Linked DNA regions of Arabidopsis thaliana. The protein of the gene in region 1 interacts with the protein of each later gene in a biochemical or structural test. Each region holds a gene or a part of one and is shown in the gene's direction. Other genes may lie near its edges.

Region 1 (4,920 bases):
AAACTGCCGGTGTTTCAGGTTGTTGGAGACAGAAAAGGTTCGGTTTTTGGTGGTCTTGTTGAGGCACCTTTGATACCAACTGATAAAAAGTATCAGGTTTGGTTCTAAAGATCCAATCTTTGTATATAGATTCCATCTATCCAGTTTTCTTTCTTTTCACTGTAATTAACATTCTTTTGTGTTGGGTTGTTTTGGCAGGGAACCAACAGTACCTTTGTTTTCACAAATAAATCAGGACAACCCACAATATACCGTCCCACAGGTATTTATTATGCATTACTTGGATACATAGAACTTGTTGGGAGTTGTTTCATTATTCACCTGTAATTATGGATCAGGCGCAAATCGGTTCTACACTTTATGCTCCAAGGAATTCCTAGCTCTGGGCGGTGGTGGACGGTTTGCTCTCTATCTAGACAGTGAGCTGTAAGATTTCCTTACCAAATCTCTTAAAATCATATTTGCATTTTTATTATATTGCAAGATTGCGACAGACAACAAGGCATTTTTCCTCAAATCGATTGATCCATTGTGTTCTTATAGGCTAAGCGGATCGAGCGCTTACTCAGAGACGTATGGGAACTCTTGTCTCGCAGACTCTCAGGACTTTGATGTTAAGGAAGTGGAGGTAGTTAAATTTCATCCCTCTCCTTGAAAAATAAAAGCTTTATATTTCAATATTTTGCAACACCTTTTAACTGAAACAAGCAAACAAACACACCATTGGTTGATTGATTGTTGCAGCTATGGGGATTTGTGTATGGCTCAAAGTATGATGAGATTCTAGCTCACAGCAAAACAATGGAGCCTGGTCTTTGCAGATGGTCATGATCATTATAAAGAAAACCCAAATGAATTCAACTGAGATTCGTCTTTTTGTTGTTGTTGTTGTTGTTGTTGTATAAATCTGTAGTAAAAGAAATCTTGTTGTCTTGTAACTTGGCTAAAATCACATATATGTTACTCTCTCTCACTTGTAATGATGATTTTGAAATAACAAAATAAAACCACCTATTAGGCTCATTCGGCCCATTAAGGCCCATTAAAGCATATGTGTGTGTGAAGAGGGATTAATTTTAGTGGGGAAGAATCAAAGAAGAAAAACCCTTGCTACTGCTTTTCATTTCTGACCTAAAAGCTCAGCTCCGATTTGAAAATGGGGAGTAGATTGGGAGGACGAGTGGTTCATTTCGCGAATCTTCCGATTAAGCTTCTGATGCCTGCGAAGCTGACCAACATTCACGAATTCGCGTTGAAAACGATTCCTTCCGCGTCCAAGATCGAGATCAAGCGAGTCCTGGAGTCGCTCTACGGATTCGATGTGGAGAAGGTGAATACTTTAAACATGGATGGGAAGAAGAAGAAGCGTGGTGGTTTGTTGATAGCGAAAGCTGATTACAAGAAGGCTTACGTCACGCTACGTAGTCCATTGTCGATTTCTAGGGATTTGTTTCCGGTGAAGTATATCGAGGAAGATAGGAAGAGTAAAGTGAAAGGATCTAGCTTTGTTGAGGAAGAAGATGATAAGAAGAGTCATTGGCTTGATCGTAAGGAGAAGAGGGAGATTGGTGGTTATGGTAAAGGTAAAGGTCGTCGAGGTGGTGAAAGGGCTAACTCTCCGACGAGAGGTGGTGCTGCGGCGGCGGGGACGGCCAAGTTTCCATGGAGCAACATGAGATTTGTTGGTAAGTAGGGTTTATGAGCAGATTATGATCTGGGGTTTGTGTTTCTTTAGCTATCGGATTATTGATTTTGTTGTTTCTATTACTTGAGGTTTGTGTATTGAGAATCTGAATCATTGAAGCTCTCAGTGTTTCTGAGATTTGGCTAATAAATCTGAATCAAGATGTTTCCAATTGTTTGTAATCTTTCTCTTAGTGATCTCTGATTAGCTATATGATATTTGCTGCTCCCGAGTTCTAAAGCTTTTTTTCTTAATTGCAATCTATAAGAATGCTTAAGGGGATTAACTCTGGTGATGGTGCTTTGTTTGTCTGTTCAAGTTTTGAGAAACCTCTTATTAGTCTTATTGTTTGTGGATTTGGGGCTTATGTTCAAATGTTCGATCACATTACGCAGATGCAAAACGTATGATAAAATTGTGACAAATCACTACATTAGCCAATAAATATAGTCATCTCTGATCATCCCAAAAATCTCATCACTTTGTGGACTAGTAGCTTGGTGTTTACTAAATAATTGTTAAAATAATTGTTAGTTCAGATTTTGGTATTCATTACAGATTACAACTAGGCTACTACTCACCTAGTATCTTCACAAACTAACAAAAATTTGTTTGGCTTAAAGGTCTTTTTTTGGTTTAGGTTTTAATTAATCAAATAACGATTTAAAAGATTAATGAAGAAGACTTTGATCATAGAAATTTTAGAAAACATTCATCATTAAAAAATATTATTTTTTTTAAACACAGATACACCCAACCGCATCGACGCGCTTCTTATATAAAGTCTCCGCGGAAATCGTTGAATATATTTGGGCGCGTGGCGATTTTGTGAAGGTTGTCAAGTTTGTGTGCGACCGAGTCATCGTCGTCGTGCTCTCCTTCTTCTTCATCGTCGAGACCTAAGAAAGACGAGACTCTGATTCTTCTGATCTTTGAATCACACTTTTTCTTTTTTTCCTTCTTCTTCCAACGGAACGGAACATATGGCTTCGGTTTCACCTTTGGCAAAGTTTAAACTGGTGTTCTTAGGAGACCAATCTGTCGGAAAAACCAGCATCATCACTCGTTTCATGTATGACAAATTCGACACCACGTACCAGGTATTTACACAGATTCCTTTCACTTGTTTTGTTTATTCATTTAAATTCTTCTCTGCGACAACAAGTTTCTTTTGTTTTCGTTTTTTTATTGTTTGATCTGATTCATTATTTCCTATATTACGATTGTTCAGACGATTTCATCTCATATTGGTCCTAGATTACGTCGCTGATATCACTCTGGTTTTTCTTCAATGCATTTGTTTGATCACTCTGCTCTCTGTTTTTTTGGTTGATTTATCAATCTCTTCTTCTTATTATGATCAAGATCGATGATGCTAAGCACTGTTGCTTCTTTGCTTTCTTAGTTAGTCATTAAGCCTTTATTTGTGTTCTCTCTGACTCTCTGCAGCCTACCATTGGAATCGATTTTCTATCGAAAACAATGTACCTCGAAGATCGAACAGTTCGTTTGCAGCTATGGTGAGAACAATGTTACTTTTGCTCTTTACCTAAAAACTAACATGTTAATTTCAAAAGCAATAACAAAACAAGTTTTGATTGAAAGGGATACTGCTGGACAAGAAAGATTCAGGAGTCTAATCCCAAGTTACATCAGAGATTCTTCTGTTGCCATTGTTGTATACGATGTATCCAGTAAGTCCACCTTTGTTTCTCTCTTTGATTCACCTTCTTTTTTGTGTTCTTATGTGTTCAATCAATACTTTGTGTTGCAGATAGGCAAACGTTTCTGAATACCTCGAAATGGATTGAGGATGTTCACAGAGAAAGAGGTCAAAGCAATGTTATCATCGTTCTTGTTGGAAACAAAACTGATCTTGTTGAAAAACGGTAAATACAAACATTAAGCAAAGAATTGGATGGGATGGACTATATAATTCTCTCTTGTCTTATATATGTCAATCTTGATATAATGAAAAACAGGCAAGTATCAATCAGTGAAGGAGAAGACAAGGGTAAAGAGTATGGAGTGATGTTCATTGAGACCAGTGCCAAAGAAAACTTCAACATTAAGGTATGACAAAACTTCAACAAAGAGTATGGAGTGATGTTCATTTGAGTGTTTCTTGTTGTCTGATTTCTAAACACACCAAATCTCTTCAATTTGCAGGCTTTGTTCCGGAAGATTGCTGCAGCTTTACCCGGGGTAGACTCATATTCATTGGCAACAAAATCAGATGACATGGTTGATGTGAATCTAAAGACCACTTCAAATTCATCACAAGGTGAGCAACAAGGAGGAGCAGGTGGTGGTGGAGGCTGTTCTTGTTGATTCAAAAATACATAATTCCAAAACTTGTGAAGCAAACAAAAGGGATCACGTTAGTTTTGTGGTTTTCATCTTATTAACTGACACAGAATATAAAACATCAAAGAGAAAAGGATTACTATTTTTACACATGTGAATCTTTTGCCTTGTTCTGTATTTGATCTGTTTTAGACATTGACGGTAGCAGAATACAAAACCTTATTCTGATCACCACCAAATGAACCAAAGGGAGAAGGATCAACTGTGGTGACAGCTTCCTTCCACTCAATTGTACCCCAAATCTCACCTTTCGAACGAAATCTCGGCACACCAAACATCCAATCTCTCATCATCATCATTACGCTCAAGCCAGAAGAGAACAATGTTCACACCAAAACTGTTCACTTGACTGATATTCTTAGAGCCTCCAAACCTTTAACTATCTTCCATTCTGATTCCTCAGACTCTTGCCAAAACACTCACCGGAAGCTCATATCGGTACCGTATAACAACAATTCCTCAACTACACAATAACTCAAAAGATGTGGCCTATTCGTTCTTCCCCATTTACCATCACTGGGAGAGTAATAAACACTTCCTTCAAACCATTTCACTCCGTAAACCTTGTCTTCCTTAACAAGGCTTCCATTGGCGTTTGTTTTGGCCACTACGATTATCGGCGGGAAGGTTTTGTTGTTTCTTCTCTTCTTGGAAAACGAAAAACGTTATCCTTTATTTGTTCTTCTCTTGTTTTACTTTTTTATTGAGCCTTCAAACATTCGTTAGTGTTATCAACTCAATGAAACTTGTAACACAACAAGTTGATTAGTGAATTAGTTTGTGCTTACTCATCTCAGACATTAACATATAATACTTGTTAAATACTTTTGAAGATTCGTATTATCTTTGTATATATTTGTATACTAAAG
Region 2 (8,530 bases), on another chromosome or scaffold:
AGAGAGAGTTACTAACAGTATATTGCAGCGCTACATGGAACCCTAAATTGCTTGAGACTTGTCCTCTTCCAATATTTTTATAAAAACTAATGGGATATCTATATTCCTGGATTAATCCCAATCGAATCTAATACACTGACTAGTATAGTAGGGGTATGTACGTAGCAGTATTAGGAAAACAATTAGACTAACGGTAAAGGCAGGAAAGAAGAGTTGTTGAATATAAGTTAGAAAGTTAAAAAAGAATTCGGATAGAGAAAGTTTAGAAGACGTACGTAAGCAGAGAAAATTAATTCAACAAATGTAATTCAGCAGCGGAAAGAGACGTCGAAATTTATTTTATTTTTATTTGTTGTTGTAAAAAAAGAAAAAGGTCAGCGAGAGGCATTGACCGATCGTTACTCATTAATTTCAGCGACCTTAAAAGGAAATGAATGCTCTTTATGGGTTTGCCTCCAACCCCTTTCCAATTCCTCCACCCTCTCTTTATTACTTACTTTCCTATTCACTATACGCATCTCCCTCTCTCTCTATATCCACCATATATACATTTTATAATGCCACCTGGACACATGTGTATGTGTATGTTGTTTTAATATTTGACAAAATTTGAAATTTTGATCATCTTATTGTATCACGGGCACGTCAAGATTTCAAACATTGATTCATATTATCGTATGCATACACCATGACATATTATTGCAAGATATATCTCAACAGTTACATTGTTAACAATATAGATATAGTAGCTTAAACCGTCCGTATAATACGTACGTAAATGGACGAAGACGTATAGTGAAGGAAACTTAGGTCTTTAATAAGATATATAATGGTATAACTGTAGCAGATGATTTATCTACAATTCAAAAGCTTTATCAGTTTCTTTTGTTTTTTTCTTTGTTAGTCGTCGTACGGCCTAGGGAATTGTTAGTTAGGAAAGGTAGATACATAATGTATAGAGAGGGAAGCAACCATAAACATTTACATTCACCACATGCTCTTAAATAATTAATTAATGCCTCCTAACCTCTCCTTTTGCTCTATCTATCTACTTTAATTAATTACTTGAATATATGCTGCCTATAGAGATTCCTTTTTCTTTCTTCCATTCATTCCTTTTGGCTACTGACTCTCTCTCTCTTTTTTGCTCTCGATTAATACTTCTACTTAATTAGGGTTTTGGGTAAAAAAATTCGCCCTTTTCACCATTAATCTATTACCCGTGTTGGCAAACTTCCAAGACCAGTCTTCTTTCTTTTTTGGCTTTTCTTATTGAGGGCCAATGAAAGCAACTAATTAATTTTTAAAGTAGGGTCTATCAAAATTAATTAAGACAACCCTTAAGTTGATTCCAAGATGCAGAAACTGACCATATATCTTTTCTTTTATCTCAACAAGTGACGACGATCCCTTTTAATTCACGTCCTTACAAATAACTATCTAGAAAGAGAACTGACCCACCAAAAATGGAATATGGTGATGATCTCACGCTAAAAGCAAACGTGTTTATACAAATGTGACATCGAGTGTGCACACGTACGTGTGAAGAGGGAATGATGGCATAGGAGATTGCGCCAGATAAAGACAGTGAGGACAACTAACTCCATATACTAACTTATATATAATTAATACAATGCATTTTGATATTCACTTTTTGTACAAAGGAAATGATACCATACGAGTCGTACGTTGCTAATATTCTTGGTACCTCCAAGTCCAACCGCAAAACAAAAGATGGATAGTTAGTTGGAGAGGATCAGCTGATGAAAACCAAAAGACACAGTTGTGAGAGAGCTACTAGCTAGTGAGTACCACATATATACGTATATTGGGATATATATATACCTTGAATCTTACACATTTTGCTTACATCTAAAATAGAAAATGAACCAGTAATTAGTTTTTGTTTGGATCCATAAATATCACATATATTACTTAATTATTTCATATAATTTATCACTCAAATTACATTTCTGTATACCAGTTGTAGTATTTTAATGAATAACTCTACTAGTAAATTGTAACATTCAAACAGAAATAAAAATGAAAAATGTAAATGTAAAGATATAATCGTGATCTGAAATAGGATGGTTTACAATACGTAAGAGAATACGAATGTACATCATGAGTATCAAAACAAATCAAGATTCATACCAAAAGGAAGAGAAAAAACATATCAACATATGCATAGGTTAGCGTCTTAGCGAGCGTGCGGAACCGAGGGTGCCTTGGTTTGCTGGCCCCAAAATGGGTGGGCTTTTAGGGGCCCAATATTGTTACTTACAGAGGCTAAAATGGATCCTACTGTTTTCCCTTTACAAAAACGGAGACAGGCCTTGTATATAAAAAATTCAGACCAAAGCCGCTTAGAATGAAGTAAATGATATCAAGACAGAACGTTTTTCTAATCCGCGAAACGACGCCGTTTGTACCGCCGGTGGCCGAGGGAAAAAAAAGGATTTGGATTTTGTTGGATCTAAAAAAACATAAAACACATAGGGGTGGGTCTCTCTCCTCCGGAATTCGATCACGACGGCAAGGACGACGCATCTCCTTCTCGTAAGCCATTGATGATCCCAATAGATAGCTCTATTCTGCTTTATCCAATCGCCTCGTCTTAATAATTGATTCAGTGATGTAATTGGGATCTAAACTCGATTGGTTGATTGTTTTCCTTGGAAGCCACAGGGCTGGAGATGGATCTGGTCCGGTGATTTCTGAGATTTAAGTCGATCGAGTTTCCAGATATATCTCTCAAGTAGAGATGGCTTGGTTCAGTGGCAAAGTTTCTCTGGGAGGATTCCCAGATCTCACTGGCGCTGTCAATAAATTCCAGGAGAGCGTTAAAAACATTGAAAAGAATTTCGACAACGCCCTTGGCTTCGACGACAAGTCCGATTCTGCCGCTGAAGGTGTTCTCTTCTTCTCACTTTTTTTCCAATCAATACACATAATATTATCATCCTTCCCAATAATCTGCTGTTAGTCAGCTGGGAATATAGGATTTGATTACTCAAGGCGCATTTGTTGATAGGACCTGCCATTTTTCTTCTTCTTCTTTATGTAGGATGTTTAGATCAATAATCTGCTGTTGCAATAATACAATCTTGCAAGTTATGGGATTCTGTCTTATTTTTCTTAGAACTAGCTTAGCTAGTGTGCTTCAGATTCTACCCATTGCATTTTATTCTGAATTTGAAAAAAACACTTTGTTTTGGATCTTTGCGTTTACTTGGTGACAGCTTTTTCTGGCTATGATTTCAGGGGTATTCTGTGTTTACCTAACTGTAGCACAAATCATTTTCTTCTCTAGTTTGTCTTGAGTTTCTTGTACCTTTCACAACAAAAATCCTTTTGTTCTTTCTTTTTAGATGCAGCTTCAAGTATGTGGCCACCTGCAGTTGATACCAAAAGCCTCTTTGATCCCGTTATGTCCTTCATGGGTAACACCTCTGATGAGAAACCTGATACATTGGAAGACTCTGTGCGTACAGAAAATCCGTCTCAAATTGAACAAAAAGAAGAAGAAGCTGGATCGGTTAAGCTAGCTACTGAACAAGCAGTATCTGTTGAAGCAAATAAAGAAACAAACGTGAGAAGAGAAGCTGATCAAGCAGATAATCCTGAGGTAACAGAAACTGTTGTTTTGGATCCCAAAGATGATGAACCGCAATCGCAGATACTTCTCGAAGAGTCCTCTGAATATTCTCTTCAGACTCCTGAATCCTCAGGTTACAAGACTAGTCTTCAACCTAATGAAAAGCTGGAAATGACAGCTTCTCAAGATTCACAGCCCGAGCAACCCAAGTCAGAGGCTGAGGAATCACAGCCTGAGGATTCTGAAGCAAAAGAGGTTACTGTAGAAAACAAAGACACTGTTCACTCCCCTGTGTTAGATGGACAGCATAAGATTACTTATATGGATGAGACAACAAATGAACAAGAAATTCTGGGTGAAAATCTGGAAGGGAGAACCTCGTCTAAAAATTTTGAAGTTTCACCAGATATCAATCATGTAAATAGGATAGAGTCCCCTGTTGCTCATCCGTCTTTAATTTTTGAGTCTGATGGTTCTCCTTACGAGTCTTCTATACCAAAGAGATCGTCGTCAGATGAAATTTCGGAGAGAATTGTGGATTTTGTTTCTCGTGAAATAGATTCAAGACTGGATACTAGTGAGTTAAATGAAAGCCAGCGTTCAAGCTCTGCGACAAATGTTTCCGACTCTGCTGATGTTATTCTGGAATTAGAGAAGACCAAAAAGGAAATAAAAATGTTGGAAAATGCCCTGCAAGGTGCTGCAAGGCAAGCTCAGGTACATCTTTAGATCCTCATGAAAGGTTTTGCTACGGATATGGTGCTTCTATACCAATTTTCTGGGGATTTGTTTACAGGCAAAGGCTGATGAGATTGCGAAGTTGATGCATGAAAATGAGCAGCTAAAATCTGTCACTGAGGATTTGAAGGTACAATAGAGTATGCGGAATATGGGATATTAGATGAAGGATTACTTTTTTCCCCAGTCTTCCGCCCATCTTCCTTTCATTTGGAATGATTTTGAATCTACATTCTAATAACCTCTGCTCTGGAACAGAGGAAATCTAACGAAGCTGAAGTCGAGTCTTTGCGAGAAGAATACCATCAGAGAGTTGCAACTCTTGAGAGGAAGGTATTATATCTTTTATCATTCTTCTCTTTCAATTCTCTTCTTTTCATTATATATATATATGCCTTCACAGTGCTTATCTTTGTAGGTTTATGCTCTCACCAAAGAGCGGGATACACTTAGAAGAGAACAGAACAAGAAAAGTGATGCTGCGGCCCTTTTGAAAGAAAAGGATGAAATAATAAATCAAGTTATGGCTGAAGGTAAGACAGCCTTTTGGAATGCTTGAATTATGGATCGTATTTTTCTCGTTATAAAAAAATGGTGTTGAAAGCGAACACCTGAAAAATGAAAGGACGTCATTTCTTGCTCAGCTTGAGCTCTTGATATTAATGCTAATCATTTCAGGCGAAGAGCTTTCAAAGAAACAGGCTGCTCAAGAAGCTCAGATCAGGAAGCTAAGGGCTCAGGTATATATTCAACGCTATGTGTTTCATTTTTATCAATACCAACAGTCTCATGGCAATTCTTATTTGTACGAGGGTTAGATTAGAGAGGCAGAAGAAGAAAAGAAAGGACTGATCACAAAGCTTCAGGTAATTGATTTTTTTTTTTTTGTTTCATTAACCACGTCATTAAGGATGAAACTGCCTGAAGGGGTTTTCTTGATTTCCCAGAAGCTTTTGTGAAAGGCTGGTTTGAAAATCAGTCTTCTTGTAGGCAGGATTAATATCTAAATAACTAAAGCATTTGCAAAGTTTGTTAAGCTTCTTAGCTTCATTAATTTTTCCTTTCAATTGCCAGTCGGAAGAAAATAAGGTCGAAAGCATTAAAAGGGACAAGACAGCTACAGAAAAGCTGCTGCAAGAGACCATAGAAAAACATCAAGCTGAACTTACTTCTCAGAAAGACTATTACTCAAACGCATTAGCTGCAGCAAAGGAAGCTCAAGCGTTAGCTGAGGAGCGTACCAACAATGAAGCGAGGTCAGAGTTAGAGAATCGTCTAAAGGAGGCTGGAGAGCGGGAATCTATGCTAGTCCAGGCGCTGGAAGAATTGAGGCAAACCTTAAGCAAAAAGGAGCAACAGGTTTTGTCTTCCTCGATCAAATTTGGGATAGAGTACTACTGGGATCTCATCATTTTATTTATACTCACCTAGTCGGTGGGCTCTAATTTTTACAGGCAGTGTATAGGGAAGACATGTTCCGTGGAGAAATTGAGGACCTTCAAAGACGCTATCAGGTCAAATCAAGATGTTTCGTTGTCTCTATGCATATTTCTTTCTTTGGTTATCGCCTTTTGGTTACGTTTGAACCATAATTCTAGTTACTAATAGTTTGTTCTGTTTACTGTTTGCTAAACCAACCACTCTTATAGGCTAGTGAGCGAAGGTGTGAGGAATTAATCACACAGGTTCCTGAGTCTACAAGGCCTCTCCTAAGACAGATTGAGGCTATGCAGGTAAAAAATTGACCCATATGTTTTTTCTGAAAGAACTTCTCCTGAGATTAGAATCTTAAATTAAATTGTAACATTGCATGCCTCTTATCTGATTGGCGATAGGAAACTTCATATAGAACAGCAGAAGCTTGGGCTGCTGTAGAAAGAACTCTGAATTCTCGATTGCAGGTGTTATGAACAACACTGCTCTATGCTATATTCAGCCAATTATTTTTGTTTTCTCTATCTTTTTGTTCACTTTCTAGAAATATTCAGGAAGCAGAAAGTAAAGCTGCAACAGCTGAAGAACGAGAGCGCTCTGTGAATGAACGCCTCTCTCAAACATTATCAAGGATCAATGTTCTAGAGGCCCAGGTTTTCTATGCTTTTTGACACTGTTCTTCATCAATTTTCGCAGCTTTCTCTAAATTTTAGCTTACCCAGTTCTCCTATCCAGCTTTCATGTCTCAGAGCAGAACAGGGCCAGTTAAGCAAGTCACTTGAGAAAGAGAGGCAGAGAGCAGCAGAAAATAGACAGGAGTATCTGGCAGCTAAGGAGGAAGCAGATACCCTAGAAGGTCGAGCAAACCAACTTGAAGTTGAGATAAGGGAACTTCGGAGAAAACATAAGCAAGAGTTGCAGGAAGTGCTACTCCACAACGAGCTTATTCAAAAGGTTCTACATTGCTTTATGGACATAACTTAATCTAATAAGAGTTAGTCCCATGAAAAATGCCCCATCAGTTACGGAATTTAAAGGACTGAAGTACCTAGCGAATTCAATCAAAGTAGTGCTTTCCCAAACTTTTTCATCCTGAGTAGCTTCTATTAACAACCGAACTGTTCCAGTTTATTACTCTTCTTTATTGTCCAAGTAGTTTCTCAATATGGCCTATTTTTTTCAGGACCTAGAGAGGGAGAAGGCTTCACGTTTGGATCTTGAAAGAACGGCCCGTATCAATTCCTCGGCAGTCTCTGAACAGCTTCCTATAGCAAGGCAAAATTCTGCCTTTGAGAATGGTGATGCATCTAGATCTATACTACTGCTTAATAAGTCAGGCATTGCACATCTGTAATTCATTAACTATTGCATCAGGAAGCTTGCCTAGAAAGCTATCAAGCGCAAGCAGCCTTGGAAGCATGGAGGAGAGCTATTTTCTGCAAGCTTCTCTTGATTCTTCAGATAAATTTTCTGAGAAGCGAAGCATGCCTGAGGCAACTATGAGTCCGTACTACATGAAGAGCATCACACCGAGTGCTTATGAAGCCACACTTCGACAGAAAGAGGGTGAACTTGCTTCATACATGACCCGCTTGGTAGGTGTAGAAAATATCCAACTGGGACATTTTTGTGTAACTCTGTTGGTAGGCTTTTGGCAATTGGCTTAGTAATGGGATTGAGGTTGACATCAGTCCTTACAATGGGACACTATGGGTGTTTGGATCATGTTGAGAAATTATTGGTTAGTTGCACACCGTGGTTAGCCTTCTTTTATAAGCTGGTTTAGAAGGTTTAGCTCTACTCGTCGAGGTAGTATAGGCTGGTTGTTAGTATCATCGTTATCTGTAGAATCTAACTGTAAGAGTCTATTTGCCTTTGGACAGGCATCAATGGAGTCTATCCGAGATTCCCTGGCTGAAGAACTAGTCAAAATGACAGCAGAGGTATGTATAGCGCTGAGAGTTTAGAGTTGATATTATGCTCAGTGTTATGATGATATTTCGTCTATATCTGGTAACTGTGGATGTAGTGTGAGAAGCTACGGGGGGAGGCAGATAGGGTCCCGGGCATAAAGGCAGAGCTGGAAGCACTAAGGCAAAGACACGCGGCTGCTCTGGAATTGATGGGTGAACGAGATGAGGAGGTAAGATATGTGAATAAAATAGTAGTGTATCCAGCATTAACAACAGTAGTTGGCATTGAGTTAATAAAAAAGTGGGTTTGGGTGGTAGTTGGAGGAACTTCGAGCGGATATAGTGGACTTGAAGGAGATGTACAGGGAGCAAGTGAACATGCTGGTGAACAAGGTAAGGCAAACAGACACAAGTGGAGTCAAAGTGTTGACAAACTCAGGCTAATGGGTTTGTGCAATTTTGGGTTTGCAGATCCAATGAGGGGCAAGGGAAGATGGTGTTGGCAAGCTCAGGCTCACGAGTAGGACCACCTAATCCTTGTTTCCCCAATATTGTATAGCTCTATAAGCTACCAACCTAAGCCCACTATATTCATTTGTCGTTTTGTCTCTCAGGTGTTGGTTGAACTTGAGGCTTTTTAAAACAAACTTTTGCTGCTCGAAAGAAGATTTTTCTTACAGTGAATTCGATCGTAAATTATTATTTTGGAGACGAGAATAAACTTTTGTCTGTGTGACTTATCTACGTATGTAACATGTATTGTCTGTGTAGTAGAAAAACGGTGGAGAGACCCATTAATAATGGGATTCGTTGATGTAGCAATCCATCCATATAGGAAAACTGTGTG

What was found. Proteins that work in one complex are often made in the same cells at the same time.
Region 2: the proteins of RABH1c (region 1) and GC5 form a complex in vitro, tested with the Arabidopsis thaliana proteins (one study listed by BioGRID).

The regions. Positions count from the first base shown.
Region 1 is NC_003075.7:18,503,445-18,508,364, forward strand, and holds RABH1c (RAB GTPase homolog H1C), read left to right. Parts: upstream 1-2,474; 5' UTR 2,475-2,667; coding exon 2,668-2,784; intron 2,785-3,133; coding exon 3,134-3,204; intron 3,205-3,289; coding exon 3,290-3,378; intron 3,379-3,458; coding exon 3,459-3,573; intron 3,574-3,666; coding exon 3,667-3,757; intron 3,758-3,853; coding exon 3,854-4,015; 3' UTR 4,016-4,259; downstream 4,260-4,920. Other genes in the region: AT4G39870 (TLD-domain containing nucleolar protein), read left to right, coding at 19-96, 199-262, 339-426, 544-628, 745-831; AT4G39880 (Ribosomal protein L23/L15e family protein), read left to right, coding at 1,157-1,693. UniProt on the Arabidopsis thaliana protein: Protein transport. Regulator of membrane traffic from the Golgi apparatus towards the endoplasmic reticulum (ER).
Region 2 is NC_003070.9:30,027,743-30,036,272, reverse strand, and holds the start of GC5 (golgin Putative 5), read left to right. Parts: upstream 1-2,371; 5' UTR 2,372-2,559; intron 2,560-2,682; 5' UTR 2,683-2,764; coding exon 2,765-2,912; intron 2,913-3,371; coding exon 3,372-4,315; intron 4,316-4,394; coding exon 4,395-4,466; intron 4,467-4,594; coding exon 4,595-4,669; intron 4,670-4,754; coding exon 4,755-4,869; intron 4,870-5,014; coding exon 5,015-5,076; intron 5,077-5,154; coding exon 5,155-5,202; intron 5,203-5,410; coding exon 5,411-5,695; intron 5,696-5,790; coding exon 5,791-5,910; intron 5,911-5,985; coding exon 5,986-6,069; intron 6,070-6,171; coding exon 6,172-6,237; intron 6,238-6,324; coding exon 6,325-6,423; intron 6,424-6,505; coding exon 6,506-6,724; intron 6,725-6,953; coding exon 6,954-7,068; intron 7,069-7,144; coding exon 7,145-7,365; intron 7,366-7,653; coding exon 7,654-7,713; intron 7,714-7,799; coding exon 7,800-7,913; intron 7,914-8,001; coding exon 8,002-8,076; coding exon of another isoform or gene 8,077-8,127; and 5 more. UniProt on the Arabidopsis thaliana protein: Golgi matrix protein playing a role in tethering of vesicles to Golgi membranes and in maintaining the overall structure of the Golgi apparatus.